Linked DNA regions of Schizosaccharomyces pombe. The gene in region 1 interacts genetically with each later gene. Each region holds a gene or a part of one and is shown in the gene's direction. Other genes may lie near its edges.

Region 1 (8,334 bases):
TGTAGCAGGAAACACTAGAAAAGATACGTTTGACCATCACCAACTACGGCATAAAATCCAATACACAGCATGGCCGAAGAACATGATGAAGCCGTTCGCGTTGCCGAACTGAGAAAGAAGAGAAGTTTCCGTACTTTTGCTTACCGTGGTGTTGAGCTTGAGCAGCTTTTGGATCTCTCTGCTGAGCAATTGGTTGATTTGTTCCATGCCCGTGCTCGTCGTCGTATGCTTCGTGGTCTTGGACCCAATGCCTCTCGCTTCATCCGTAAGCTCCGCAAGGCTAAGACTGAAGCTCCTCTTAATGAGAAGCCCGCCACTGTTAAGACCCATTTGCGTAACATGATCATCCTTCCCGAGATGGTCGGTTCTGTCGTTGGTATTTACAACGGTAAGCTCTTCAACCAAGTTGAGATTCGTCCTGAAATGATTGGTCACTACTTGGGTGAGTTCTCTATCACTTACAAGCCTACTAAGCACGGTCGTCCCGGTATTGGTGCCACTCATAGTTCTCGTTTCATTCCTCTTAAGTAAAGAGATGCAAAAAGGCGGGTTCAATGGATGGTTTCACTTCTATCTTATTCAATAATTTCTTTGTTTGGACTAACGTTGTACATTCGCATAAAAACCTAGGTTTTTTCAAGATATCTAAATTTGGTAGTGAAAGTAACAGTTGTAGAGCTGCGTGTTCGTAAACATGAATTATGTAAAGAGAAATACAGACAGATAATTTTTGTATTTGTAAAGTAACGAGTGTGTATAGTTGAAGGAGCATGGAAGTGTAACACAGAGCCGGACATATTGATTTACTTGACACTTGAATCTGCAATTTGACAGCTACGATTAGATTGCTAGCTTCATGATGTTTTACAAAAGCTACTTGTCCCACTCTTGGCTTGCCATCTAGCTAGTGAACCTATGAGAATATTTTATCATTATATTTTGGAAACCATCATTTGTTTTTGTTTCTCAACTAGCTCGAAATAACCTAAATGGTACTACATTGTAAAAACCAAGCTTTCGTTTACGTTTTACCACCGTAGAGTATATGTACCAATTCTGGGTGCTTGTTTGTAAATCTGAATTTTTTTGTAAGCTATTAGTTTTAAGGATAAATAAATATGTTTAATGCTATTCAATATTAATGGTATATCCTAGGTCAACTTCACAATACACTATACTCTAGGGTTCATCCTTCATAGAATATTACTCTCTTCGCTATATCTTAGAACTGATATATGCACTAATTTTTTAACTCGCATTAGACGAGTCCTTTCTAAGGAGCTAGCTTAATGATTATGTACATAAAATCTTCATTTTAACATCATTCAAAGTATTCTATTTAGTCGCTCGACTTTTCGACTTCTTTAGTCTCCTGTAACTTTCTCAAAATTTGTCATTAATCAACCATCAGCCAAGGTCTGATTGATTTGGTCTTTTTTTGTTAAGTAATTAATTTTGGAAGTGCTTACACTGAAGACGTCTATATGCTCAAAAGTCGCTGTTAGTTTGTTGCCTTTGCGTGAACTTGCTTTGTTAATTTCAATACCATATTGACTTGTTTTTCGATCAGTATTCAACTGTTTTTATTTTAATCCTGATAATCTTGATTTAAATCAAATTTACTTCCTAAATGGATATTTACGAACATAAAAAATCATTCATGGAACGACAGATACGGCTGTTGAACCGACCTATGCGCCCTCCAAAGGATTGGAAACTTCCTTTAAAATCCGGTCAGCTTTCAGAATCAGTCGTTGAAACTGTATTCCAACGTACGTGTTCCATGCTTTTGTCTGGATTTCTCCTACAAATAAAAAGTTCAAAATATTATTATTAACCAAAACAGGATTGCAACTTCGTATCCAAAAGCATGCAAAGCTAAATTATTCACATCAAGCAACTCAGCATGTTGCCGCTCAAATACGAAAGTTATATGAACAAAATAGCGCTATTGAGGACATTACCTTTTTAAATCCATTATTTTATGGAGAAATTGATTTAAGCAATTTAGACAGTGTAAAATCACTTCCCCATCCATGGCCTTTTCAAAAAGAATCCCGACCTGTCGAAAAGGATGAGGAGCAAGAGAAGTTCAATCGTCTTACGGGAGAGTTACTTGGTCTATTAACAACGTTGTCAGAATTAGAACAGGAGCGCTCTGAACTTGAGCAAATCGAAAAAATGTTGGAACCTTTTGAAGATGGGCCTTCTTCAATACATACGAATATGTGGAAGAAAAACCCTGAATTGATATCAACCCTCAACAGTACGAACACCATGGTAGCTAAAATTAATTCTCTTCTCAGAGGGGTTTCATTTCCTTCTTTAAACAATGACAATCAGGAAGCGTCATTGGAGGACGAAATCAGAAGCCAATTATTCGAAAAAACTATTTCTGATGATTAAAAAACTTTTCGTAGAAATTGAGAGGGAATGATGTTCATGAACTCCTATTGCATCTCATCATCTGCTTTTGAAATAATGACTAATACTTAATTGGAGGAGAGGGTGCCTTATTTCCTGGTTTAAGGATTTTATTGACTCTACTAGAAATGTTGGGGCTATAGAAATAACTTTGAAGCTTCTACTTTACGTTCAGATATTTATTGGTTAATGATTTCCTAGCTTTGGGAGGCATTAAGTTAGTTGATAAGACAACACATTTTTATTTACAAATGAGTGTCCGCTAAACAAAATACGTTTCTTAACAATTGTCTTAGTTTTATTTTTTAGTTTACAGTGTTTCTAACCTTTAATGAATCATTACAGCTTATAATTCAAATACTCAGCTCTCGATTGTAAGTACGTTAACATTAATTTTATCACAATTATAATACCTACATACAAGGAACTATAGATTTAATTATTTTTCTTTTCTTCTGATAATTCATAAAGCTTTATATTCCTAATGAATTCATATTACTTCACTTATATTCTGAAGCTGCATATAGCATGTACCATCTGTAAGCTCGATGAAATGAGTGATGGGTAAAGTATCTGCAAACAATCAATCTGGTAAGTCAATGTGTATCATTCTTTTGCTAATATTAGGATTTTTTAAATTTTATATCGATACAGCGTTGCTTTTAAATGCTGAATTTATATCCTCCTTCACAAATTGTATAAAGTATGGTTTTGCGCAAATGGACTATTACTGATGATATAGTTCTGAATATAATGGAAAAGTAAAAATTTCTTACTCTTCTTCATCTCAGGTATTTTATATATCCTAGCTATTGACGCTAATAATTCAGCAATTCAAAGTCATAGTGTACGAGGAACACAAAAGAGAAGCGTTTAGTCTGTAAGTTCCATGCGTTCATCCTAAATATTATTTTAAATATTAATTAACATGCTAGTTTTGAGGAAATAGTTCAAAAGTTGAAGCGCGAATCAACTGTTTACAAGAAACCACGCCTAGATATTCATCCATTCGGGCAATTGCATTATGATTTTACTACTTTATTGAATTTTCAAAGGTACTTAGACTTAGGATACGGTATTGAAGATGTGAAAATAAAAGAAAATGAGGACATTGTTAAGTCTAAAGTGGGCAAGAAACCGACATCCTCCGATTTTTATATTCCTTGCTTGATAAAACCTAAAATCATTACTCCTTTTGAATGGGAAGGAAATTTTAAACAGGTCATTTATTCGCCTACTGTTTACAACGGGAGTTTCAAGCGATTATTTTACCTTCCCGACAATAATGATTTGCTCAAGGAGTTTGCGCATGCTACCAACACAAAATACAAGGCTTCTTTAAAAGATAATGTATGTATTTGTGAAGATACTTCTACCATCCTAACTTTTGACTAGAAAATAGTTGTATTAGCCAATAACGATCAGGACATTAATGCTATGTTGGAGAAAATGAAGCATATAGAGAATTTAGTGTCCCAGAAAGTCTATGAATATCCTGAAGAAACTCTTGTTTATGCAGGAAAGATTGCACCCTGCCAACTGAAATTTCTAAAATTAAAATTTGAAAACGAGATTTTATACACAGCTATGCATACGACATCTATTTTCAAAAGCGTTTTCAATATCCTTGGATCTTTTTATACTATGAGATTATTGAGAAATAAACATGATGGTGATTCTTATGAGTTGGTACCAGTTTTTGCTAAAAATCCTTCCAAAACCCCTCCCTGTAATGATAATTTTAAAATATTTTCTGATGATATAAAGCTGATAGGATGTAAAATATTTGCAGGTGTTTCTTTAAACTTCTCTTCTCCGAAACCAGCGCACAGATTTTACGAGTTAAATAAAACTTCATCCAATTTGTCGATCCCAGTCTTACAAAAGCCGTCAAATTTTCATTCTTCGTCAACCGAATTATCTGATAATTCAATTCATCAAGGAAGGAGAGCAGTTGATCCTGTTGTTAACCAGAATAATCCGTCAAATTTTGAAGAAATGATTATGAACAAGTTGAATAAATTACCCACGATTGATAAGCAAATTTTAGGAACTTCATCTTTGACCCATTTCCAAGATAAAACAACTGCAATTGAGCATTCAATTAATAAGTCTAATAGCAAGCAGCCTCCTCGGTTCAAATTTCAGCTTCCTCCTCGACCTACGAGCAATACTTTACCATTGGAACCTGAAGAAGAGCTGGTTACTAGATATTCTGTTTCTTCGGATGGTAATACTGTTGACGAAGCAATAACTAAACAGTCTCAGACTTTTCAATTGGTCAATTCAAATGAATTTAATGAAGTTAACGCTAATGATGTTCATAAATCTTTGCGACAAAATTGCGCAAAATTGGATTTCGACGATTCAAAGTCTAAAAACCTATTAAGTGTAGAATGTTTAGAGCTTGACAAAGGATCAGATTGTTCCACTCCAAAATCTGGCAGCTTAACTCCTTCAATTGACATGAAGTTTTTACGTTTACAAGATGAGAAAATGGACGACCTTGGTGACAACTATTATACAATTCTAATGTCTTCCAATCCGGTATCAAGCTACGGTGTGGGAAGCTTATACTTATTTCAACCAAAAATAGTATGCTCTGAAAAATACATTAATCACGAAGAGATTGACAACATGAATTTGAAATCATTGCACAGATGGTTATCTAGAAGGTCTGTGGTATTGACTAAATATGTAAACATAAGTCTAACACTTTGTTTAGCTTGCATGTACTTCAATCCTTTTCAGGTGAAATTGAATTGAATTTAGAGTATGCGTTTATTTTTGAATAAATATTAATCCAACAGGTTTGGCGTCATACTATATCCAAATATCTCATCAGATGTGTCGGCTTGTTCACATGGTTTTATGAATATATATAAGGATTTGAATCTTCCCCGATCATATTTTGCAGACTGGTAGGTTGAGTCTTCATATGTTATATTAACCTTTTTATAAAGCATTACCAAATCAGTTTCGAATATCGATTCATTATTGAATACTCCTGTGAAAATTTTGTTTGGACGTACTGAGTATACTTATCCTTTAATAGAGCATGAAGTATTAGATTCAAAGAATTACTTTGTTTTCAAGGGAAGTTTATTATTTACAGATGATAAGAGAAACAAGACAGAGGATTCCACTGTATTTTTTTCGATGATTTGTTCTTCAAAGTTAGATCAGTTTGCGTTTTATAAAGATTCTAAGCAATCTTCTACTTGCACTATCAATTTTCCTTTAGCGTATGTTATGAATGTTTTTAAGGAAAAAAACAACTAATCATGACTTATAGCTTATGGGATTCCCGTCTACGTATCGAAACGAAAGTCCCTTTAAATGATGCGATACTTACAGAGTTCTCCAAAAGTATTAGATTTAGGTATGTCAATTTCTGAAAGCTTCGACTAATCAGTTGACTAGAAACGTAAATAAGGATTTACTGTTAGTCTTTGGAAATATGGAAGACAGAGTAATAATTCATTCGGTCACAAGAATTAATGAAAACTCTGTACCTTTTAACAAAAATTTACTCCCTCACTCTCTAGAATTTATATTAAAATGTTCAAAAGTTAAGAGCTATGACATTAGCCCGTCATCTATTAATTCCAAAGAAGCCTTCGTTTGTCTCGACAGATCCAAGGAAAGCAAACCTATAGAATCCTGTTTCAGTCTAAGTATACAAAGTGTGTACATGCAGTCTCAGTTCAAATATAATAACAGTATACGCGCAGGAGAAACGGCTCCGTGGAAACTTGCAAATAAACAATTCATTGGTGGGGCTATTACTGAGAATGTTTCAGACTTGTATACTGCAGCAATTATTATGGTGAATCAATTAGGGGGGATACACCCTACTATTTAATTAATTTTATTTATGCGTTAATATCAATTTTGTTTATACCACTTAACATAAATAACCCCTCAAACCAAATTCTTAAATTAAAACAATGCGAGGACCCATTTAAAACGAAACATATAGAGTCAGTTTCATTTACCCGGGTTCTCCAATGCATCCAATTCCACTGCACGCTCGCGCAATTTATCGTATCCTTTCAATACACCTCTCCATTCGGAATCTGTTCCATAATTGATATTTATCAACTCTATGTCCCTATTTATTTTTCTTAAAACTTGAGATATTTTCTTCCTATGATTGTTGGGTTCATCAGCTACACTGAAAACTTGTTCAGTAAACAATCCAAGCATCGATAAAACCGTTCTACAAACTTTTGAAGCAGACGGAGAGTTGGATCCATCTTTAACAACTGGGCAAGCGTCAGACCACGAGTTTCTAATGAATTCTATAATTCCAGGTATTAAAGGATATATTGTCTGCCAACGGAAAGTAGGGTTATCGACAAGATCGTGTTTATTTGGATTGAATAGCGACAAATATGCAAATGAACAAGGAGATCTAAACGCCTCGTATTTCGGATGTATTACAATGCATTGTTGCAAATAGGGATACTTTAAATGAACGGATGATTGTTGATTTTTTGCTTGTAACTTAGGGTTCAAACCCAATTGTAAAAAATCGTTACATACAGTTAGGTGTCTTATCATGTTAGCGGAAGACTTCTTTGAAAAGCTAGTTGTTCTCTTCACAGAGGCACTCTCTGAGTTCCACCCGAGAAGGTTTGTAAAGCACTCTAATGTTTTCTTCCACTGTAACGAAATTGCAGAGGAACTTAGCCGATCTTTACAAGCATTGATGAGTAAGGAGAGAAACTTTGTAGAGTCATTCCGTATTGAAGGAGTAATATGAGTCATCCCTGAGTGTGTGTAGAGAAATATCATTCCAATGTTCGGTTCCAGCAATTCTGGCCCCATTATATATATAAATTTTTCAAGAAATCGATATAGACAATCTCGTACCGATGAGGATTCATCAAGTATCAAAGGCGATGTTAACTTTAACAGCAGCGCTGTCGACGTCGTCAAAATGCTTGTATGAGATAAAACATATTGTGTAAGCTTTTCCAACGTCTCTTTAACATGTTAGCAAAAGATGCATAAGTTAATAGAAAATTTCTCTTACCCTGCCGTTGATTGGCATTATGATGCTTTAACATTCCTAAAAGATGTGCAAAGTACGCCTGATCCTTAGCTGTTGTATTGAAATCCTCCTTTTCTAAAGCTGCCTGTGTTGGAAGTACGAGCGCTAGATGTTTAGGTTAGTTATTTGAATAAAAATTCCTTTTGTTCATACTTTTTGTTCTGAATGAGGTATCGGTAAAATTATTTGGTGCATTTTTTGATTTTCCCACCTTGAGTTTTTGTTTCTAAAAAATCAGTTAATACAGCTATTTCCGACAACAATTTTACATTAAAATCAGCTCTTTTAGCTTTTGCTTTCTTTGATTTACCCATATTTAATATATTGTGGAATTAATTGTACAATTTAAACTTCGTACTTTCAGACAACGTTACGTTTGGTGGAGTACCCAAAATGTAGAAAATGTGAGTAGTGCCTAATGTAATGAAATGAGAAAATTTTCGATTTGTTAATCCAAGTCGTTTTGCAACAACACATTCATTAATAAAAAATTTCAATTTAATCAAAAGATTTGCATTTTGTATGTACGATTAAAAAAGTGTGCTGATGATTGAAAAAATTAATGTTTAGTTGGCATTGTCATCTTTCTTCCTATTTAGCCGTAAAAATCCAAATGCCTTATGAAATTGCTCCCTTTCAAGTTCGAATGATGACATTTTTGTAACAGCTGGCATTATTTGAGTGCTAGTAACCGATACGGTTTTGTAAATTTCAGTTGGTTCTTTTTCATAGTAATCATGTAATTTCATATTCACTGCCTGCAGTTGCAAAACTTTATGCTGTAATACATTTAAACTCTTTTCCATTTCACAACTATGAGGCAGTGGAGTATCAATAAATGAACTGTTGTC
Region 2 (6,446 bases), on another chromosome or scaffold:
ATGCTGGTAAACTCGTCCCTGATTTTTTTGTGGTGGATTTTAATGAGGATTTTTCAGCATTTCATGGCCAAACGCTGTTGGACCAAGCTGAATATGTCAATGATGCTATTCCATATATACTCTCTCTTTACCGTCAAAATCGAAAAATCTCTTCGGAGTATGACAATGAAGCTTTTCCTCCCCCAACGTCCGTTATATTACTTGGTCATTCTATGGGAGGGATTGTTGCTCAAGCTACTTTTACGATGAAAAACTACGTTGATGGTTCTGTTAATACCCTAATTACTTTAGCTACGCCACATGCAATGGCCCCTTTGCCTTTTGATAGGCATCTAGTAGAATTTTATGAATCAATTAAAAACTTTTGGTCCCAGTCCTTTCTGTTGAGTCCAGAAGAAAATTCACTAGATGATGTTTTGCTTGTTTCCATAGCTGGGGGAGGTTTAGATACTCATGTTGTACCGGAGTATTCGTCCATCTCTACCTTTGTGCCCCCCTCGAACGGTCTAATGGTTTTTACTTCTGGTATCCCTTCCGTTTGGGCAGAAATTGATCATCAAGCTATGGCTTGGTGCGAGAATTTCCGTCGGGTACTAATTCGGGGAATTTTTGCAATTATGGATGCAAGGACATCAAAGTGCACCGTTTCTCTTAATTTGAGGAAGGAGTTGCTTAGTCGTGCCTACATCCAGGGTTCTTCTTTTCAAAACGACATTACGCAAATTTCCAAACCAATTGCTCAATACAAAGCTTTGGACCTTGATCTTACTTACGTTTATAGCGAGATGCCAGGGCAACTGTTATTTTTGAACCAACTAGGTGTTTCTTATATTCGGCATCATATCTTTCCTATTCCGAAGCCTACCTCAAGCATTGACCGATTCGAATTGCTTACTGATCAGCCTATTGATCTTTCGTCATCCAATATTAAAGTATTGGCTTGCCGCCTTGATCCAAAAATTGATAATACTATATCTGCTTTATTAGAGAATGGTAACAATAAAGTAATTAACGCTAATTGCCATTTACTTAGGGAATTGGTTACTTTGCTTCCTGCTTCAACTGCATACACCAGCAGTCCATATGGTGGTGACAGTTTTTATAACTACGTATTGCCAAAGGAAAAAATGGATGATTATCATTTTATTTTAGTGTCTGATGATTCGAAAGCACCCGCTAGTGGGTTTGTTGTTGGGGGATTTTCAAATGTTTCGTTGGATCCTAAAACGATTAAAGGTTCTCAAATTGAACTCTTCAAAAGCGGAAGAAAATTTCAATTCGACACCAAAGGATCGATTTCGAAACGCTTCAGGTTCCCTGGTATTCAGAGCTCAATTATGGCTTACACCATTTCAGTAACGTACGAACTTTATCCTGGTGCCGTACCTCAAAAAGAATTTACCCCTATGTTAAAGCAAAGTATTGAATCTCCATTTGAAACAAAATATCATGTGAATATGTCAAATACAGAACTTTCTGTTCACGGGATATCCCCATTTATGGAATTTTTTGGTAAGGAATCAGAAAAATCTTTAACTCTCGAATTCTTTTTGAATCCTGCTATCTATAAGTCGGTTTATGTTTCAATACAGCCAAGTTATTACAGGAGCGCTGGGCGTCTGCTCATGCGTTACAGAACATTACTTGCTTCCTTTCCTGTGGTTGTAATTAGTTTGGCAGCTTACAATCAGTTTAGGTATTTTCATTACGGTTCTGCATACTTGAGTATGTCGGCTGCACTTGAAGTCATGATTCGCAAAGGACTTATCAAACTCCTTTTTTTAGTTTCGATCTTGTCAATTGCATTTTCATATTTAATTAGCAGAGTAGAGTTGATTGTTGCCGATGGTGCTGACCCTGTCGCCTCTTGGAAAATATTCGCAATGATGGTTCCAAAATCTTTCTGGAAACAAAATCATTTACTTTTTGGACTACAGACTGCTCAATTTTGGTTCCTCGCCCCGCTGTTAACTTTAATGTTTGTTGGCTTAGTTATAACAGCCAGTGTTATTATACTCTGTGTCATGCATTTATTAGCATTCATATATGGTATCTACTTGCGTTATAAAGGTTTGACTTTTACTGGTGTATGCCAAGCTGTGAAGTTCTCCTTTCAATGTCTGAGAACAAGAAATACTAGAAAATTGGATCATGGAGAATTTAAAAAACTTTCGAGTTTTCTATCTCAGAGAAATATGTATTATGCAAACCCTTCTCTCTGTTACGTATATGGAAAGAAGCATATGCAAGCTCGGATAATTGGCATCATGTTATTGTTGCTCATGGCAATGACGGTGGTACCCTTTCAACTTGTTTATGGTGTTGCTTTATGTACCCAGACAGTAACTACTGCTAAAGCTTTACACTTGGCCCGATTTTGCACCAAGTCAAGCCATTACCGAAAAAAATTGTGGGATTTCTACAATTTCTCTTGCACGATAACAATACTGATGTTACTCTTAGCTCCTTTGGACTTTCCTGTTCTCATTGTTTGGGCTAGAAATCTTTCCATGCATTGGTCTATTCCTTTCCCCACACATCATAATTTCTTCTCAATTATCCCTTTTATATTACTCACCGAAATTTTACGAACAGGAAAGATGCTACCTCGTTTGAACGACGTGGAGTACTACATAAATAACGTTTTTTTGTTTCTTCTGTCTTTCTATTCATTGATATATGGAGCTGAAAAACCATACCTCATTCACAATGTAGTTGGGTTATACTTTTTTTGGCTTTTATTTTTGTATGCCAAGAATGGTTTTTTTGTACAAAACATTTCGAAATGGCCGATCATTCCTAGAATGAAGTATTTTATTAAGCACAAATTTTTGCGATCTATTTCTTAATGGAAACTTGTAACAATATTATTTAATTCTTTTCTCTTTTTTCTTTATTCTCTCTTTTATATTACATTATTTCCTTTATTTTCACACTGTTGAACACTTATCATACTTTAATTTTCAAGATAGAACTTCGTTTTTATTTGGTAGACATTCGTTCATTGAATTTTATTTCTATTTATTACCTTGAATAATATCTCTTTACAAAGTTTATTGGTTTATCAAAGACTGAATAACTCACATTAGCATGATGGAAATAGAAAAAGATGAATTAATATATGAGCTGTCATCAACAGTTAAGAGATATTTTTTGATTTTTGTAGACCAACACTAAAGGTACTGGCCTTTCTTCCGTACGTGATAATGGCTGTAATAGTTCAAATAAGGAAACATAATTCACTTGGGAAAATTCCTGAGATAAAGGCACAATATTAGCGGTTGGCGAAGGAAGCTTGTAAATCTGGCGCACACTCAGGTCGGGAAAAATAGCCAAAGCTTGGTGATTCCAAACAAATTGAAACATGTAGCTATGAAATCCGTCAACATATATGCGGCATAAGGCAAGAGGTCTGTTGCTGATGGACAAAGTCTTCAGTGAGGATGATGTGAAAGAACCCAAACAAGCCAAAATCCCAAGAGTATCTGTTGGATAAGATGACAAAGAGCCTTCAAGCTCTCTAACAAATCTGGGCCCTATTGATCCCTTGTTAGATTTGCAGGATACGACAACTTTGGTGGGCTCAAACAACACATTTTTAATCGAAAATTGGCCCACCAAATCCACCCCACCATCGCCCTTTCCACCACATCTTTCAAGCTGAAAACTGTGTTGCTTTAGCACATACTGTACCAAGTATTCAAACAAGGTTCCTTGGGCAACAGTATTCGACGTTGAAGGCTTCTGAACACTCAAATGTTCTAAATAGGAAACAAGATTGTTGTGTGTGACAGACAAGTTTCTAAGGCCTAAAAGGCCTCTGTTCATGAATGAAAAATTTCTACACCGATTGAACCCTGACTTTAAAATCCACATCACGCTAGACAGAATGCGAAAGACTTAAACAGTATAAAGTTCAGGATAAGAAATGAATTATGCAAATATTCATTCCCTTCTAATTCGAATAACAACGACTGAGGATCGAAAGTAGTTATTTAAATAATTTTTGCTGAATTTTAGAAGTTCGTGAATCACGCCGTTCCTTAGTAATTTTAATTAATCTGTTAACGGTTTGCAAAAGCAAATTCGCGATATCTAAGAAAAATTTATTCAGAAAATAACAAAAATACAGAGCTTTGAGGATTACAAGCAAGCGACAAAATAATTGAAACTGGTTCTGCTGTATTTCATGGAATGATCCAGCTTCCTTGGTAGCTTTGTTTATAAGTTTTCCTTAATAAAAATTTACTCTTAAATTATATTTGATAATATGAAAGTTTTGATAACATCACGCCTCCATTTCCACAATATCAAGCCTTCAGACTCTTTTATTAATCAAGTGTATTTTTGGTGGAGAAATTAATAGCCTGTTAATTTTCAACTTCACTATTCTTTTTAAAAGTTTTCGAATTGTAATTTAAAACTGTATACTAAAACGTGCTACAGTTCGTTAAACACGTTGTCTGGCACTACTCTAATTTTGTGGAATCACAAGTAAACAAATGCAAGCAAGGGCTTAGCAAAGTAGAAAGGCCCTTAAGGGGATATAAAAGGAAATTCAAAGAGAATTTATATATTTTATTTAATTCTCAATGGATATCGGCATACTTTCGAGTTTAAAGCCTGCACAGTCGTTTCGTGATAACTCATTAGGAAGCTTCATTAATAGCATTGATTACAGTGATTCTGGAGAGTATGTTGCAACGACATGTTCTGCCGATGACACAGTCCAAATATATGATGCTTTAGATCCGAAGCAAGTCCATACAATAACTTGTTTCGAAACCGGCATAGAAGTTGCTCGTTTTACACACCACGATCATAATCTACTTTTGTCTACCACAAAGGGGAATAAGGATATTCAATATGTTTCAATTTATGACAACAAAAGAATATCGTACTTCAGTGGGCACACGGACATCGTTTCATCCATTGAGGTTTCTCCTATTGAAGACCAATTCGTTAGTACGGCAAACGACAAAACCTTGAAGCTTTGGAAAATGAATCAATCCTCGAGATGCCTTGGAAATTTAGATCTCCCATCCCTTGGAATTCCCGCTTATGATCCCACAGGTCTTGTTTTTGCGGTTGCATGTCATTCACTGTCACGTATCTTTCTTTACGACGTGCGGAATTATGGTTCTGATCCGTTTTCAACATTCACAATAGATGACTCTCGTTACTTATCAAGGTTTTCGTTTCCCCCCATGATGCCTGAGTGGAAACATATGGAGTTTTCCAACGATGGAAAATGTATACTTCTCTCAACTAGAGCTAATGTTCACTATATACTTGATGCATTCAGCGGGGATGTTTTATCTAGATTAGAGGACTTCCAAGAATTGCCGTTCTCCAACAATTTTCACGGCGGCTCAACCACTTTTGTACCTCAAGGTAATTTTGTCATAGGATCTGCTGACGACCGTACCCTGAATGTATGGAATTTAAGACATACCTTTCACCATAAAGGAAAAACAAGACCTCCTGAACATCGTATTGTTTCTCAGTCTATAATTAATCCAGGTCTTGTTAAGTATAATCCTAGGTATGATCAACTTTTGACTGCAGGGTCCCAACTCGTTTTTTGGCTTCCCGAAAAATATGCCTTAACATCATGATTATACTGCTAAAGCATACCGTAATCTTCTCCCAGGTTTTAATTATTATATAATCTTATTTATGTCTTCAACAACTACCTATACGTAAACCTGAGGAACCTGTCATTTCAACAAATGAACTAAAAATTTTTAAAATATAAAATCCTCATAAATCTTTAATTGATTTTTCATATTTCCCGATCTTAATTTTCTTCATGCAATGTTAGAATTTTTACTAATACCCTTTTTATTAAAGGATTCGCTAGAATTCATTGATATATGAATATCAAGAAATCAAACTTTGCGATAAGCAAAATAATGTTAATACTATTCTATCTTTTGACATATACCATGTTGACATTGTATAACGCATACGTATGCATGTAAATGACTCCTAGATATATCTGTTTTCTTATTCCTTCAATCCACTGTAATTAAAAAAAAAGATTAAATTAAAGAAATCCCAGGTAAACGGGAAAGCGAATTGTTTAGGTGCTTGACATAGTGAGATGACTCTTACCAGTTGCTTTAAGTGTGATCGGGGATACCACTGTTCGTCACAATACTCACGTGTAATATACATTGAACTACATTTATAGAAGTTGCTTCACCTTTTTAGCATTTTCTAAATAAAATAGAAATGGAGCCTTCAATAAAGTATCCCATCTATGGTATGCCGTTCAGTTGCATAGTTATACTAATTTACGAAAGAATGGGAACTTTTACAAGACACTTATTACCAAAAGGTACGTCAGAATGGAATTTGTAACAGAGTTAAAAACTAATGTAACTAGTCAGCTATTGGAAAGGCGGAATGGGAATATATAGATCCTGTTGACTTTATGTTTG
Region 3 (8,718 bases), on another chromosome or scaffold:
GCGCAAGCATCGATGAAATTAGGAGTGTCTTTTTCCAATTGAACATTCAGACACTTTTCTTTAATCAATAAGGTCCTAGACTTCATAAATACACCTTGTCCCTCCTTTTCATGGCCTAAAGAGCGTAAATAACGAACTATTTCTTTCCCGTGGGAAAGACTGATTCCTTTAAATCCAAGTTGATGAAGTAAAATTTCCGTCACCTTTCGCTTTCTATTGTGAAGTTTATCTGCAAAAAATTCGGCAAACAACTCGTTTAGATTACCACGCTCTAGCTTATTTTGTATCAAAGCCAAATTTCTAATAGCATCCGTAAACTCTTGTAAGCTAATTTGTATGTCGAGATGATCAAATTGCATAGATATTTCCTTTACCATGTTTCTCTGTTTGGCATAAGCCTGAAGGATGTCCTGAGTATCCAGATTTTTACAAAGGACTTGAAAGGATGTATACGAACACATATCGGCTTGTTCCGATTTAGTATGATATTCTAGTTCACGACTAAATTCGAGATCTTCATCATGCTTTCTAGACCAATTTTCTAGTTCTTGAAGCTGGTGATGGCGAGCCTGACGAACCATATAATCCCTTTCTTCACTATTGTGTACTGCCAACAATGTGGTCTTATTGTTATGGTTAATTGACAGTTTGTATAGAGAGACCTCTTTCTCCTTCTGCAGCATTTCAGCACCTGCTGGTCCATAAGTTTCAATTGAAGAAATAGAAATTTCGGTTAAATTCCAATTATACAAAACCTGCTGCTTAGCAGGGAAATCAACTTCTTTCATGTGAGAAGTAGTAACCAACAGTCTATCATTAAACAGAAGCATATTGACAAGAAGCTTAGGTCTCTGATTGTCAATATTGATTAACATCCAATTGTATTGCTCACATATAAGCTGTCTTTGAGGCGCTTCCCAGAATGCTTCATCTAGCCCTTCAATGGATGATCGTAGTCTCTGTACCGTTTGTTTTATTGATTCGTCGGAAGGGTCATGCGTATGGTCGACCAAGTTTAATCCTTCAATGTCAGTCTCCAGGGTTTTCAACAGAGACTGAAACTTTTTAAAATCTGAAGTCATGCTCTCAACCTCCCCTGATATAAATACATATTCATTCAAATTTTTGTAAAAATTCTTTTCCAAATTTTTACGGACGCCCATGTGAATGCGTAGAAGCTTATTGTATAAAGACACAAATTCATCTTCACTAAGGTCCTGTAAAACATCGTTTAAATCTTTTTTGCAAAATTAGTTTCCAATAGACATAATTACACATACAGCTTTGAGCATCAAAATTTTGATTATCGAAAAATTTAGGCTGTAAAAAAACTTCATTTTGTGAAATGATATGTTTTGTTTGCCGTTTTTGTCGATAAATATCATCTGTTTTAGAGGTACCGACTCGTAATCGCGTCGGTGACTTTTAAAAAGCAGTTTTAGTAATAGGTTGTTTTTATTTAACTTCAGTACATACCTGTCTTTGGCTTTCATTTGGTATGGACTCCGAAGCAACACTTAAATGATTAGATTTCCTAACAAAAAATTAGCTCAAACACCCGATATTCTCTAGCTGCGTACATGAATTCATCTTCAAAAGAAGATGGATTGTCAGGCATTTTTTTTTCAAGTTTCTGATAGAAGAATAAATATTATGTATCTAAAGGATGTTAAATTGAATGCTTCACATTTGAAATAAGTTTAACAATTTACCAATTAAAATAAGGGAATGAAGAACCTATTTGTGGTATTTACAAATAGGAATAATAAATTAATTTATCCTTGAGCAATTGCTCTATTTTTAAAAATCTATTAAGTTGTTTGCTTTGCCGAAGTAGTTGGACGTGTTTGTAAAATCAAGCGCTGACGAGGGGTTTGGAATATCAGGGCTGCACTTAATTTTGAAACGAGTAAAGCTACGTAGCTCAAATTATATACCATGCTTAAAAAATAAATTTATAGTAAATATCAGCTAGATATTATAACACGATATTGAACATGAATTAAGGTGCATGATATCAGTCGTTTAACTGATGGAAGTTTCCTAACAATTTTTTATTCCTTGGTGAAAAAACTACCTCAATATCTGCTTTGGATTGAAAACTGAAATTCAACTTGCCGGTTCATATAGGATGAATATGTATTCTTAGTATTTTGATTCTACTTCCCTATACGTAAAGGAGCCTTCACTTAACTTTATTCCACCGTGCTACAAACTTCCTTCAAGAGCAATTCATAGATATTGATACTATAACGGTCAATTAAATTAAAAAGGCACACATATACATGTATGTATAAGTGGATAAATAGGAACATTATAATCTTTTTTATATAAATCGAAGGTTTTTCGTATCTAACGAATTTATAGCCAGCTGAAAGGAATCTTCTATGATAAAAGACCACTTCGCAGAGCGAGGCTGCTGATACTGCATAAAGGCGCTATGAGATTTAGTGTTTTATTTTTACAAAAGGTTCCAAATTGATTTGTTGTCAGGGTTATAATTAAATCCAGATTTTGTATGGCAATGTAAAGCAATGGCAGTTTCGTTAAATGACTTTATAAGTGTTAAATTAAAACGTTATTCTCGTGAGTCACCCTGGGAAAGACTTAGAGTCCCATATAGAAACAAAAAGCAAAAGAAATGGGCTTCCGTTCACAATAATGAAGCTCAGTTGCACTCGGCTAATAAACGAAATGATAATTGTCTAATCCAAAGAAGTAGTACTTGGAGATTGGGGGATATGATTACACTTGTCATAAAAGATATTCCAGTTACTTGGCTTTCAAATGAGGGAGGAAAACTATACAACTTGTGGGAACCCCTTCATGATTACGGTACAATAGAATTCATGAAGATTAATGAACCTTTGAATGGACAGACAAGTACTACTGCAATAGTCCAATTTGCTCCTCCTCCCAAAGTTCCATTCTGGGAACCAAATGGGAAAATAAATGTCAAAGGTGTTGATCTAGCTGTTCAAATTGACATAACAGCACATCGTTCCCACATCAGCCGACAAGTTTTCTCTAAGAATAGTTTTAGAAGCGATCAGCTAGTAAAAATCCCGTTATCCTCCTTTAAGCTCGGGCAAGTTTATGATGAAAGAATTGTCCCACTGTTTGGTGTTGATTGTGGAATAACTGTAACTGAATCAAACTTACTTGTATATTTTAATTTCAAAAAGCTCTGTGTTCTCTTTGATGCTTCTTTTGACAAACAGATCGAAACCTTTCGTCTGGACTTCGATTTTCATTCCATAATAGGCGATGTAGGGACGGATTATTACGATGATCATATTTCCCTCGTATTTAGATTTAGATTTTCTCCACTAATTTTCAGAAAATCTAAAAATGCAACTGAATCCAGAGTTCAAACTTTCTGGACTGCATCTCATCTTTGGAGACGACATTATGATATTCTACCTTTCAATGTTTCACCAACGACTGCTAGTCCTATAGAGCTACTTAATTGCCATAACGCCCCCATTGGACGCTGCAATGTTTTAGTCCTTAGCTTTTCCATAAGGGATGAGTCTGATAAAGATGACATTGCCTTTCTTTTACACAACTTGGAAAAATTCAATTTGAAAAGTCAACTTGATAAAGTGGTTTTCCATCTTGTCCCAGACTACAAACATCGCTGTAGTCTAATAAATGATAAAGAAATTGAGGAAGAGATTGCTTATCTTTTGCAGGCTTGCCTTTCTAAAAACTTATTATCAGAAATTGATTTGCCCATTATATTGGCGAATTTAAAGAAATTATCGAAAGAGAGAGCAAAAAAATTCCTAAGACTAATTCTAACGTCCAAAACCGCTTTAATAAATCCTTCTGAGCTAGATTTTACTAAGTCTTTTGTCTTTTACGATTTATCTTCCGCTTCTTCTATTCACATTAAAAAATTGTACGTTACACCTACTACTCTTCGAATAGTTGAAGACTCATTAGAAGCAGGAAATCGTGTTATAAGAAATTTTAAGGACTTTGCAAACCGTTTTATGCGTGTGCAAATAACTGATGAATACTATAAGCAAAAAATTCGAGGCGGTTCTGATGGGTTTAGAAATGAAAAATTGTATTCTCGCATCCAACAATTATTAACCTACGGAATTAAAGTTGGTAATCAAATTTACGAATTTTTAGCTTTTGGAAATTCTCAATTAAGAGAGCATGGTGCTTACTTTTTTGCTTCGGGATCTGATCTAAATGCCAAACAGATCAGGGAATGGATGGGTGACTTTAGTGAAATCAATTCAGTATCTAAGTATGCAGCAAGGATGGGACAATGCTTTTCAACGACAAAGGAAATTAATCGATTTTGTGTTGACATATCCCTTCAGGATGATATTGTTCGTAACAACCACTGCTTTACTGATGGGGTTGGAATGGCATCATTATCTGTAATTCGAAGACTTTCTTTGGAAGTAAAAAATCATGATATGTTTCCCTCTGCGTTTCAATTTCGTATGGGTGGTTATAAAGGCGTTTTATCTTTAGCTCCTCCGACTAAGCTTGAATACCATCAAGGAAATCTTGTGTTTCCACGCCGTAGTCAAGATAAATTTAAATCATTCCATAGTACCTTGGAAGTTATTAAAATATCTCGATTTTCAAATGCCCATCTGAATATGCAACTGATCACCTTATTGGAAGGACTCGGGGTTGAAAAAACCGTATTTTTGGAATTGACTAGAAGTCAGTTGTCAAAAATGAACGAATCGATAAACAGCAAACAAAAATCCATTTTAATGTTACGGGACAACGTAGATGAATATCACTCTACTTTAATTATTGCTGATTTTATCCAGGCCGGTTTCCTTGAAAGAGATGATGCTTTCACCGAGAATTTATTAAATCTATATTATGAATGGGTTCTTAGGTTAATTAAGGAAAAACAAAAAGTTAGTGTTCCAAAGGGTGCCTATTTACTTGGTGTAGCTGATGAAACTGGAACACTAAAGGGTCATTATGATGATGCTGTTTTGTCAGTACCTGAAATTTTCATCCAAATTACCGACACTTCTACCAGTTTTGGTTCATATTCAACTGGAAAGCTGAAAACAAGGGTTATAGTTGGATTGTGTATTGTTGCAAGGAATCCCTCGCTTCATCCAGGTGACGTACGTGTCTGTAAAGCTGTCAGATGCGATGAGCTTATGCATTTAAAAAATGTGATAGTGTTTCCGACAACGGGTGATCGAAGCATTCCTGCTATGTGCTCTGGTGGTGATCTGGATGGGGATGAGTACACAGTTATATGGGATCAACGTCTTCTTCCTAAAATTGTTAATTATCCCCCATTGCTTGAATCATCTCCCAAGAAGTCTATAGATTTTTTGGAAGGAAAGCCACTTATCGATTCGGTAAAAGAATTTTTTGTGAATTATATAAAATATGATTCGCTAGGTCTAATTTCAAATGCTTGGAAGGCATGGGCCCATGACCATGATAATAATCCGGAAGGGATATTTGGAAATGTGTGTTTAGAACTTGCAGAAATGCATTCAAAAGCTGTAGATTTTGCTAAATCGGGAGTAGCTTGTAAAATGCAAGCCAAATACCATCCCAAACGATATCCTGACTTCATGCAAAAAACAAAAACTCGTTCTTTTCGTTCCGAAACCGCGGTTGGCAAAATTTTCAGATACGCTGCACGATTCCAAAGAGAAAGTGGCAGACCTGCAACTTATAATCCGATAATGAATACTGTTTATGATCCTTGTATGAAACTTCCAAGGTTTAAAACTGAATATCTGAATGTAGCTGAAGAAGTGAAGAAACACTATGATAATGACCTGAGATCAATTATGGCTCGTTTTGATATTTCCACAGAATATGAAGTTTACACAGCTTTTATCCTTTTTAAAGATGATTTAGCTAAAACCGTAAATGAATATGGTCTTAGGGAGGAAGTTAGCTTTCAGTTCGACCTTCTAAAGAAAAAATACACTCAAGAGTACTTAGAGAAATGCGCTTTATCAAATCAATCGGCATTTGATTCTTCGGAATATGAAGAACGGATAAACAGTGCGGTTGCTGCCACTTACGATGTGACATACGATCAACGTGTCAAATCTGTTGGCAATGGCACTACTGAGGTATTGATTTCATTTCCATATTTATTTTCTAGTCGTCTTTGTCAGCTTTCACGAAAAGCCATGCTTACTGCTAATAATTTTTAAATCGAATATACATTCGAAGCTTTAATTGCTCGTAAAAGGCTAATAGTAATTGTACTCATTATCGACAATGGAACATAGAACAGCAAAACAGGTAGCTAGAGTTAACATTTAACAAGACTGTTGTATGTTTCTGCTGAAGGAAAAGAGTTGTCATAATTTTTACACATATACTCGATGGTTAAAGCAATTTAATCGTAATAATGTATAATTAACGATTTTTATATCTGCCAAGCTTAATCTAATTTTCACCATTAATTTAAGTAGAATAATTATAAAATTTTGTAACACGAAACAAACCAAAACTGTAAAGAAACTACGGCATGTGAACTCCAATTCAGCTTCTCCGGGCAAGATAAATGCTTTAACCAACCCATTTTCTAGCAGATTGGAAAAGACGGATCCAAGGACCATGAACGCCCCACTCGCTAGCTTTCGAATGAGGGTAATAACTGTTTGCAACTTTCAAAACTACACGTTCAGGGTGAGGCATCATAGCTAAAAAGCGACCACAAGGGGAGCGAACACCAGCTATAGCATCTCTGCTTCCATTAGGGTTGAATGGATAACGGCTAGTACGCTCGTTGTAGTTGTTAACGTAGTATATCAAATCCAAACCTTCCTTCTTAAATTGTTCGTAATCGGACTCTGAATCGAAAACAGCTCTACCTTCTCCATGGGCAACGACCACGGGTAAACTAGATCCAGCCATACTTTCAGTGAAAATGGATTTTGAACCACTTGTTTCATCGATCTTTAACATAACTGCACGACCTTCGTATTGCGCTGACTCATTAAATGTAAACATAGGCCAGCTTTTAGCTCCTGGAATAAGTGATTTCAGACGACTGAACAGTTGACATCCATTACAAATACCCAAACCAAATGTGTCTTTACGCTCGTTAAAGAAACGGTAAAACTCATTACGAGCATCTTCGTGAAGAAGGATGGAAGTAGCCCATCCATTGCCAGATCCTAAAACATCACCATAAGAAAACCCACCACAAGCAGCAATACCGACAAAATCATCCAAATGAACTCTACCGCTGAGGATATCAGTCATGTGAACATCCACGGCAGTAAAACCGGATGCATAAAAAGCATATGCCATTTCCAAATAACCATTTACGCCTTGTTCACGAAGAATTGCTACTTTGGGACGACTAGTTAAAGCCAAATCAGCGGTAACTGACACATTTGGATCAAATGTAAGGTGGTATCCTAAACCAGGATCATTATTATCGGCAATATTTTCCATTTCCTGTCGTGCACATTCAGGATTGTCACGAATTTCTTGCATTTTATAAGAGGTTTCATGCCAAATTCCGTGTAATTTAGAGCGAGTTGATTTGAAGATTATTTTACCAGAACGGCTAAAAGATATTGTTTGAGCCTGGCCGGAAAGTACTTTACCGATGCGATGAACACAAGTACTCAAACCATTAGCAGCAAATAACTCCAATACCTTGGCAATGTCACGATCACAAACTTGAATTACAGCGCCTAATTCTTCATTGAACAAAGCCGCAATATTATCGGATGACAAAGAATCTAACTCACATTCAATACCAACATGACCGGCAAAAGCCATTTCACTAAGAGTAACAAACAAACCTCCGTCAGACTTATCATGATAAGCCTGAATGTAGTTGGTTTTATGCAGTTGAGTAATAACGTTAATGAAATTCTTGAAAGTGTCTAAATTATCAAGATCCGGCACCTCATCACCCAACTGCTTATAGGACTGAGCAAGTATAGAACCGCCTAAACGTTGTTTTCCATTTGCTAAATCAATAAAAATCAATGAGGTGGATCCGATGTCCTCAACTTTACGTAATTGCGGAGTCCAAATGGAATAAAGATCATCAACAGGAGAGAAGCCAGTAATTATAAGTGAAAGAGGTGCAGTTACGGATTTCTCCCTACCGTCTTCATTCCATTTCATACTCATGGACATTGAATCTTTACCCACAGGAATGCTAATACCAAGTGATGGGCACAGTTCTAAGCCTATCGCTTGCACTGCTTCATAAAGTTTTGCACCTTCTCCAGGATGCGAAGGAGCTGCCATCCAGTTGGCGCTAAGACGAATACGATCTAAAGCAGGAATAGATGCTGCTACAAGGTTCATAATACATTCAGCGACAGCCATTCTAGCGGAGGCAGCAGCGGATACTAACGCACTGATTGGCTTTTCACCCATTGCGAGGGCTTCACCAGTGTTAATTCCCTTTCCATAGGACGTGACGGTTACGCCAACGTCGGCTACAGGTACTTGCCAAGGACCAACCATTTGATCACGAGCAATCAGACCAGTGACACTCCGATCTCCGATGGTGATGAGGAAGGATTTAGACGCAACAGCAGGCATTCTTAATACGCGTTCCACAGCATCAAGAATTGGGTCACTCGATGGCGCCAGATATGACTTCAAAGAAGAATCAAATTTAGATAAGGGAATTGTTTGAGTTTCAGCTACTCGAGACATCTTGGGAGGCTTGCCAAACAGTACTTCCATAGGCAAATCAATTGGAGTAGT
Region 4 (7,495 bases), on another chromosome or scaffold:
ACGTTTATTATATCCTTTTAGTATTCTGTATTTGCTCTTTATAATTTGCTTAATCAAGGTCAACATTTATCTGGATAAACAAATTCTTAGTTGACGAAAATGTTAAGAATTGAGGAATAAAAAAGAATAATAAACTTGGAATCTTTAAAAATTCTGCTCCGAGCACTTAGGCTTCCCTAACTTTAAAAATAATTCAGGATCATAACCAGTAGATGTTTACAGGCATAACCAACCCCAATTTAGAGATAAAAGGGCACTCTCATTAATTTTTTTATAGGAAATATTACTCCACTCATGTTGGAGAATATTCTTTACATATTCATATTCCAAGCGAACAGTCATTTTATAAGTCTTCAATACGGTTCGACTATCAGGCTCAAAGATTCGAGAATGACATTCCGAGATAAAGAGTTGACTAAAATGAAAAGCTAACGCTACGGGATACTCAAATTGCAAAGATTAGTTCGGTTTGAGTCTTTGCAATTATACTTCACAGACTCTTTGCCAATAAACTAATAGCACTAAGGTCATCAAGCAATATAGAAGAACTGTCAAAACATTTTGAGAAATGAATCTCTTTCGAACGAACATATTGCACGAATCAGCAGTGTCAGTCGTCTGAATATTTAGCGATACAACAACTTTGTCTGTTCAATCTCATGTGCCTGTATAGTCCCTTAAGCTTTTTTTTGTAGTAAAAAAAACTAAACTATTCTTTCTGTTTAATTCAGAAGCTCTCCAATGTCAAGAAACCCAATGCGCCTTTAAGTGTGAATAGCTACAGCAATCAGCAAGTCAAAGCAAAACGCATTCTTGTCTTTAAAAGAATTTATTTTAATCAATATAACAGTTGAGTTTGGGAATAATTCTAGAGAATGAAGATGTTGTTAGCAATCCTCTTTTCCTAAAACACCCTAACCTACTCCATTTCGTTGAAAAAATAAACCACTTCCCCAATTCTATGATTTTGGGATTTTTTTTGGGACTATATTAGAGAATTTCTTGTTTTATATATATCAACAGGAGCTCATTAACGTCAACACTTGAAAACAAAAAGTATTTGTCAATTATAATTATCACGAGGTTCATTATTGATTTTTCCCGAATAAGATTATCTCCAACCAAGAAAACGGAATCTTTGAATCTAAAAAAACACATTCTTTACGTTTCTTAACATTCCTCGGCATAAATTGTTCTCTTTTGAAAAAATCGTTAGCAAAAGAGTTGCTGAATCGCAAACAAGCTACGAAAATTGCATTATCTTAAAAGAAATTGTGTAAATAACAATTTATAAAGTATTTCGGGACTTTATGAGGCCGACACATTGGTCGAGTAATCAGTGCGAAGTGGATTTTACAGCTGAAGCTCTCACAACCCTTTCTTTGTCAAACCGGAATCATGAGGAAGATCCAATTCAACCTGTGTTAAAAAATTCCAATTTATTTCTCTTGAACAGAGACATATGGTCCTTGATCATTAATTATCTTGATGCATTCGATATATTACGCCTGATGCATTCAAGTAGGCAGTTTTACTATTGGCTTCGTAAATCAGCTGTCGATGAATGCTGTTTTAATAACAATTTTCTTAATTTACAACCTTATCAACGTACAGTTCCTGTTGCCAGTGATTTAGAATGGGCTACTGAAGTTGATCTCTACGGAAACCCACCAATTTTAAAACTCCAACTTCGCGATTCATTTGTCTGGTCAATGCTTGCCAAATTCCAGGGACTTCAGACCATTGCTTTAGACGGAACAGGTGTTACCATTTCTAGTGTAACGAATATCTTGCTGAACATTCCTACCGTTAAAACCTTGAGTATAAGATGGTGTGTTGGTGTTTGCTCTCTATCTCTCATTGAGTTTCTACAAAATTCTAAAAGCAGGACATTTTCATTGGAAAATCTATACGTCCTTGGTGTTAAAGGATTAGAATTACTAAAACCTGTTTTGCTTGATGGCTCTGAGGATGACACATTAACAAGCAATTGGCATAGTCGAGTAATTTTATTTCAAAATGCTTTAGACGCTTTACCAACTACTCATGGTAACCCAGTCGAATGCGATATTTCACGTTGCCCTTTGAATGCATGCAAAATTGCAGGTCAGGAAACTGAGCTTGCCGATCTTTTTTCTTTGCAAAAAGTCCCTGCTTGTATCTATTGCTTAAGGGAATGGAAGAAGCCGATTTGTCGTTATTGCATAGATTTAAGAAGTTGTTTGGTTTGCGATTCATTTGTCTGTCCTTCCTGCATATCGTTGGATTTTGATTTGCAAATACAAGCATTTGCTCGTCAACACCGTGTAATATCTACTTTAGGTGTTGTTTATCCTGAAAGAGAAGACTCTTGTTTCCATAAGATCAAGGCCGCCCAATGGCATCAGATCAGTCCTAGAAGTCTTTTGTTCCAATTCCAAGAGCAGAACCATATTCACCACAAAAAGATTCGCAGGAAGCTGTTAGCGGCTGGATGGAAATGGCCTCAATCACAGATATAGTAAGGGCAAGGCGACCTAGGTGAAAAAACTTTTTACTTTCACAACTCTTCTTTTTCTTTCATGACTAGTCTAATAATGATCTTATGCCATTCTTACTCAGAATTTTCGTTTTCATAACCATGCGAAACTCGTAAAATAATGATATACACTGAAGTAGCTAGCATTGCGTTAGAGGGTGATCTTTGTAGTAACATAACATTTTGAAATGTGCACACTAATGGTTGCTCTGCTGTTCGTCTTTTCTAGCTATTCTTATAACGAAGTAAAAATTTATTGATTAACGCTTAACAAACAGTTGGAAATTCGGTTTGGAATGCTCGTTTTTTAGTAACTGTGTTTATGTCTAAGCGCAATCCTCCTGTGACTAATATCGCGGACTTGGTGTCAGATTCTTCCTTAGATGAAGACTCGCTTTCTTTTCTCGAAGAGCTTCAGGATCCAGAATTATACTTCAAAAATGACACTTTCTCTTCCAAGAGTAGCCATTCTGATGGCACCGTTACTGGGGATACGTTGCGTAGGCAGTCAAGCGGTGCAACTGCTTTAGAGAGATTGGTCTCACATCCTCGTACTAAAAATTTTGATTTGCAAGGAAATGGAGGACAAAATTCTGCTTTGAAGGAAGTGAATACTCCAGCATATCAGTCAATGCACCATTTCGAGCATTTAATAACACCCTTGCCCTCTACTAATGCGTCTCACAGTGAAGTTTCACTCAGTGCAGGAGTGAATGATCTCAATTCTAATTCGGAGCATGATTTGTTACCTAAAAGTGTAAACAAAACCCCCGGTTCTTTATCAATTTCAAGACGACGAAGAATCGGCAGAATTGGATTAGGCCCTCCAAAGCGTGCTGAGTACACGTTGACGGATCCCTCGAAGACTTCCGATACCAAAAACTCTACAGAAGCAGATGAGGATATTGAAATGAAATCTCGAGAAGTATCACCAGCTTCCAACTCTGTTGCTGCAACAACTTTAAAACCTCTGCAGCTGCATAACACTCCTTTGCAAACATCCCAGGAGCATCCCAAACCTTCTTTTCATCCTTCTCAGTTTGAGAGCTCTTTTTCTCCTAGGGTGCAGTTTGATCACGATGTTGAAAGAAGAGCTAGTGAACTTCATTCTCGTCCAGTCACCGTTTTCCAAGAGCCTCAGCGTTCTGCTTCTCAACCATATGAATCTCATGCTCTTTCTCCAAAGGTGGCTCCGTTATTTGATAACAGTCAAGCTACTCCCATACCCAAGCGTCAGCAGGACGTTGTTACTGTTGCCAATCTACAATTTATCAAATTAGGAGTTGTTGGAAAGGGTGGAAGTAGTATGGTATATCGCATATTTTCCCCCGATAACAGTCGTTTATACGCTTTGAAAGAGGTGAACTTTATTAATGCAGACCAAACTACTATACAAGGATACAAGAACGAAATTGCATTATTAAGAAAGCTTTCAGGCAATGATCGCATAATTAAATTATATGCTGCCGAAGTTAATGATACTTTAGGGCAACTCAATATGGTGATGGAATGCGGAGAAACGGATTTAGCAAACCTTTTAATGAAAAACATGAAGAAACCCATTAATCTTAATTTCATCAGAATGTATTGGGAGCAAATGCTAGAGGCGGTCCAGGTAGTTCATGATCAAAATATAGTGCATTCGGATTTGAAGCCGGCCAATTTCCTGCTTGTAGAAGGGAATTTGAAGCTGATTGATTTTGGCATTGCCAAAGCAATTGGTAATGACACCACTAATATCCATCGTGATTCCCACATCGGTACTATTAATTATATGGCACCTGAAGCTTTGACAGACATGAATGCTCACACAAACTCTGGCGTGAAACTCGTAAAGTTGGGCAGGCCCAGCGACGTGTGGAGTTTGGGATGTATATTATATCAGATGGTGTATGGGAGGGCCCCGTTTGCTCATCTAAAAATGATCCAAGCTATAGCAGCTATCCCTAATGAACAATATCACATTCATTTCCCCGAAGTTGCCTTACCTGCTAATGCTGTCCAGGAGAAAGAGGGATCGTTGCCAGGTGTAACTGTCGGGCCTGATCTAATGGATGTTATGAAAAGATGCCTGGAAAGGGATCAACGGAAGAGACTTACAATACCGGAATTGCTGGTTCATCCCTTTTTAAACCCTTTGCCATCCTATTTGACACCTTTGGCCAAAAAGCCGTTACCTGTTTCTGGGCACACCAATAATGCTCATCCACTTAGACTCAGCACAGAAATCTCAGCTTCTCAATTATCAATGATTATAGAAAGGTCGGTGGAGTTGAGTAAGCACAAGCGATTAAATAAGGAACTTATTGATAGCATGGCTTATGATTGCGTTAGCAATTTACGAAAAATGCCAGAATAGAGGCACTAAATTTTCCGATTATTCTTAAAAAGGTTTTATCTTTTACAAAGTTTCCCAAACATCATACGAGTTTCTTAATGTTAACGACTTTTTTAGGGAGCTTAAAGGCTTTTTTTTTTTAATCTTTAATTTTTCGCTCTTTTAAAAGAAGGTAATTATGACCTTGATTAATGAACCACATATTATATGGCCCCTGATATCTATACTTTGATACTATGTAAATATAAAGAACGCTATACTCCCAAACGCTATAAGTTGTTTGTTTACGATATAATACCTTTTTGTGTTTGTTTTTTTTAGGTAAAGCAACCAAATGAATGATGCTTTTTTATAAGAAACTTTTTTAATATAATTGGGTTATATTAGACATTAAAAAAAAACCCCATAACTAATGTAAAACAAAAACCTTTAAAAATAATGTACCGCCGGTAGAGATGATTATTAACGCCATAAATGTTGGTGCAGGAAGGGAATAAAACAGGTTCAATGGAATATCGATAATCCTAAAAAAACTTGTGAAAAAATCTAAGTTAAATCTAATCACTATCCAAAAATTTATTGGCAGAAGCACCCAGATACAGGCGTAGAGTGTTAGGGGAGCAATTTACCAATTTGCAGCGAACCTTTTTGCGCCCTGCTTCATCGTGAGCACGTAGTCGATGACAGCCCCCAAAGGCAAAATAATAAGGCTTCCCACTCTTTTTAAACGTTAAAACATCAACAGGAGGAAGCTCACCAGCTTCCAAATCTTCTGAAGTCAAACCGCATGAAGCTGGAGGAGTTTTCCCTGTCATGGTTTCCATCATACTATTGACTTTGTTCATATCTAAAACAGGAGGTATAGGACGAATTAACTCAGACATATCAAGCTCAACAATGTTGTTATTTGAGCCAGTGTGAATCGAAGTCATGATGGTTAAAAATGAATGAAAGAAAGAATATAAAAAAGATAAAGTGAACAGAAATTTTTATAAATAGAACAGAAAATTATAAAAAAAGGCAAGTTAATAAGAATGGAAAAGTGGATATTGATATCGAGTATATTTACTCCTTGATCTGATATCGTTTCCTGTTGTACTAATGATCTGCCCCACAACCTATCTTATCCCGGTATGTATATAATAATTTACAAATATGACATCATTATCAAAGATGAATCGATACTTAAAATCTTATGTAAAAATTTGTCAGCATGTTAGCGAAACACGTTAAACCGACTAGGACAAAGCAACGTGGTTACGTTACGAGGTCTGGGTTTGTGTTCTTAGTAAGGTAGTTGGAGTAGCTTATTCATTAAATGTAGATGGCAATAAAACACTATTGCAAAGATGTCAAAGTGTAGAATGATGCTACCTAAATAGAATTTCAAGCACAAATACTTAGGTATAAATAACTTGGAGTCGACGGAGAACTGTAAATGCACGAGTACATTCAAAAATGTGTAAACAAAAGGTTCACTTTCTGAAAACGCTTTCTAAAATGTGACAGAGATAACCGACACAAGATCATTAAAACAATATGAGTATTGTTTTCGAATGGTGAAAGAAGCATTAGCTAGTTGAAGAGTGCAAATTTTGGTTAAGAAGAAATTCATTGGTAGAATGTAGGCTTGAACCGTTAGTCGTCAACAAAAGTGGAATTTTAAAGATTGCATCTGAAATCCTTAAATTTTAAGAAAATCCATCCTTAAGTCAGGATTAAGAAACCATAGTATATTATTTTGTTTGTATAAGTTCGGCTGCTATATTTGCTGAGGCCAAATTGATTCTTGGCCAACGTTTTATATCATAAGATTTGAAGGCAATGTAGCAAATTGAATATTAGATTATTTTAACACTTTAAAAATGTTAGGTAATGTAAGGAATAACATTTCAATTTAAAGAAGGACTGAGCGACAAATGAAAGGCTGTTCTTTTTTTTACAATTGTTGAGACAATTACAAGAACTATGGTACACATAAAAACTTTTAAAGAGTAGCAAGGTTTTAATACAATTCTTAAAGTTTTTTGAGCAAACAGATCACAATGATCCTTTCATATGTACATGCTTTAGAGAAGTAAGGTCAATACTTCAATCGGACTTCTCATCTACAATGAAAACGCGAATTTCATAATAAATACTAATCATCCATCCGTTCTCTCATATCCTTGGTATCCTTTATCCTTCCCATTAGTCAATCTCTAAAGCCATTAATCCTCATTTTTTTATAATGCCATCGCTCAATTCCCGCAAAACATCAAACCTTTTATGAACAGATACTATCATTTACTTACAATATGTTTTTAGCAACATAGCTTCCTATTAGCCTGATGTGAGATTAACTTCGATAAACTTTCAATATTAAAACTTGCATTCGATTTGAATCATCTTTACTGCCATAAAATAGAATTGCGATTTAGGATCAAGTTAGCACGACATCATGGTGTTTTCCAATATTCGCGACCTGTTCTCAACCACCACTCACCACTTCATTAATTCCAAGTTTTAGAATTCTTTAGCTTTTTGAAGTATTACTTGTGAATTCCTCAAGTGATAGTATTTATTGTTGAAATTGCTAAATATTTTTCAATTTCATCCTGCATTGTTTCCTTCTTCAAACATTATATCAGGGAGAAAAT

Evidence for each region.
Region 2: mutations in ers1 (region 1) and swd22 together harm fitness more than expected from each alone (negative genetic interaction), as found in Schizosaccharomyces pombe (2 studies listed by BioGRID).
Region 3: mutations in ers1 (region 1) and rdp1 together harm fitness less than expected from each alone (positive genetic interaction), as found in Schizosaccharomyces pombe (2 studies listed by BioGRID).
Region 4: mutations in ers1 (region 1) and mph1 together harm fitness more than expected from each alone (negative genetic interaction), as found in Schizosaccharomyces pombe (2 studies listed by BioGRID).

The regions. Positions count from the first base shown.
Region 1 is NC_003421.2:798,213-806,546, forward strand, and holds ers1 (RNA-silencing factor Ers1), read left to right. Parts: upstream 1-2,945; 5' UTR 2,946-2,984; coding exon 2,985-3,015; exon of another isoform or gene 3,016-3,051; coding exon 3,052-3,127; exon of another isoform or gene 3,128-3,166; coding exon 3,167-3,215; exon of another isoform or gene 3,216-3,254; coding exon 3,255-3,304; exon of another isoform or gene 3,305-3,327; intron 3,328-3,359; coding exon 3,360-3,774; intron 3,775-3,819; coding exon 3,820-5,099; intron 5,100-5,148; exon of another isoform or gene 5,149-5,149; coding exon 5,150-5,197; exon of another isoform or gene 5,198-5,234; coding exon 5,235-5,345; exon of another isoform or gene 5,346-5,387; coding exon 5,388-5,669; intron 5,670-5,719; coding exon 5,720-5,806; intron 5,807-5,847; coding exon 5,848-6,289; 3' UTR 6,290-6,331; downstream 6,332-8,334. Other genes in the region: rps1501 (40S ribosomal protein uS19), read left to right, coding at 70-531; protein Fta4, read left to right, coding at 1,631-1,772, 1,847-2,406; rRNA processing protein Ipi1, read right to left, coding at 6,415-7,415, 7,466-7,588, 7,637-7,709, 7,753-7,797; protein mug4, read right to left, coding at 8,050-8,334. UniProt on the Schizosaccharomyces pombe protein: Involved in RNAi-dependent heterochromatin formation and centromeric silencing.
Region 2 is NC_003424.3:1,685,770-1,692,215, forward strand, and holds swd22 (Set1C-histone-H3K4 methyltransferase complex subunit Swd2), read left to right. Parts: upstream 1-4,496; 5' UTR 4,497-4,592; coding exon 4,593-5,618; 3' UTR 5,619-5,946; downstream 5,947-6,446. Other genes in the region: bst1 (GPI inositol deacylase), read left to right, coding at 1-2,849; SPOM_SPAC824.03C (uncharacterized protein), read right to left, coding at 3,133-3,876; HOPS complex subunit Vps16, read left to right, coding at 6,238-6,268, 6,309-6,343, 6,392-6,446.
Region 3 is NC_003424.3:1,322,719-1,331,436, forward strand, and holds rdp1 (RNA-directed RNA polymerase (RDRC) Rdp1), read left to right. Parts: upstream 1-2,222; 5' UTR 2,223-2,287; exon of another isoform or gene 2,288-2,367; 5' UTR 2,368-2,534; coding exon 2,535-6,182; 3' UTR 6,183-6,343; downstream 6,344-8,718. Other genes in the region: exo8 (exocyst complex subunit Exo84), read right to left, coding at 1-1,237, 1,281-1,422, 1,477-1,534, 1,581-1,618; phosphoribosylformylglycinamidine synthase Ade3, read right to left, coding at 6,544-8,718.
Region 4 is NC_003423.3:371,049-378,543, forward strand, and holds mph1 (dual-specificity protein kinase Mph1), read left to right. Parts: upstream 1-2,745; 5' UTR 2,746-2,840; coding exon 2,841-4,877; 3' UTR 4,878-5,244; downstream 5,245-7,495. Other genes in the region: F-box protein Pof13, read left to right, coding at 1,311-2,501; srx1 (sulfiredoxin), read right to left, coding at 5,414-5,788. UniProt on the Schizosaccharomyces pombe protein: Involved in mitotic spindle assembly checkpoint signaling, a process that delays anaphase until chromosomes are bioriented on the spindle, and in the repair of incorrect mitotic kinetochore-spindle microtubule attachments.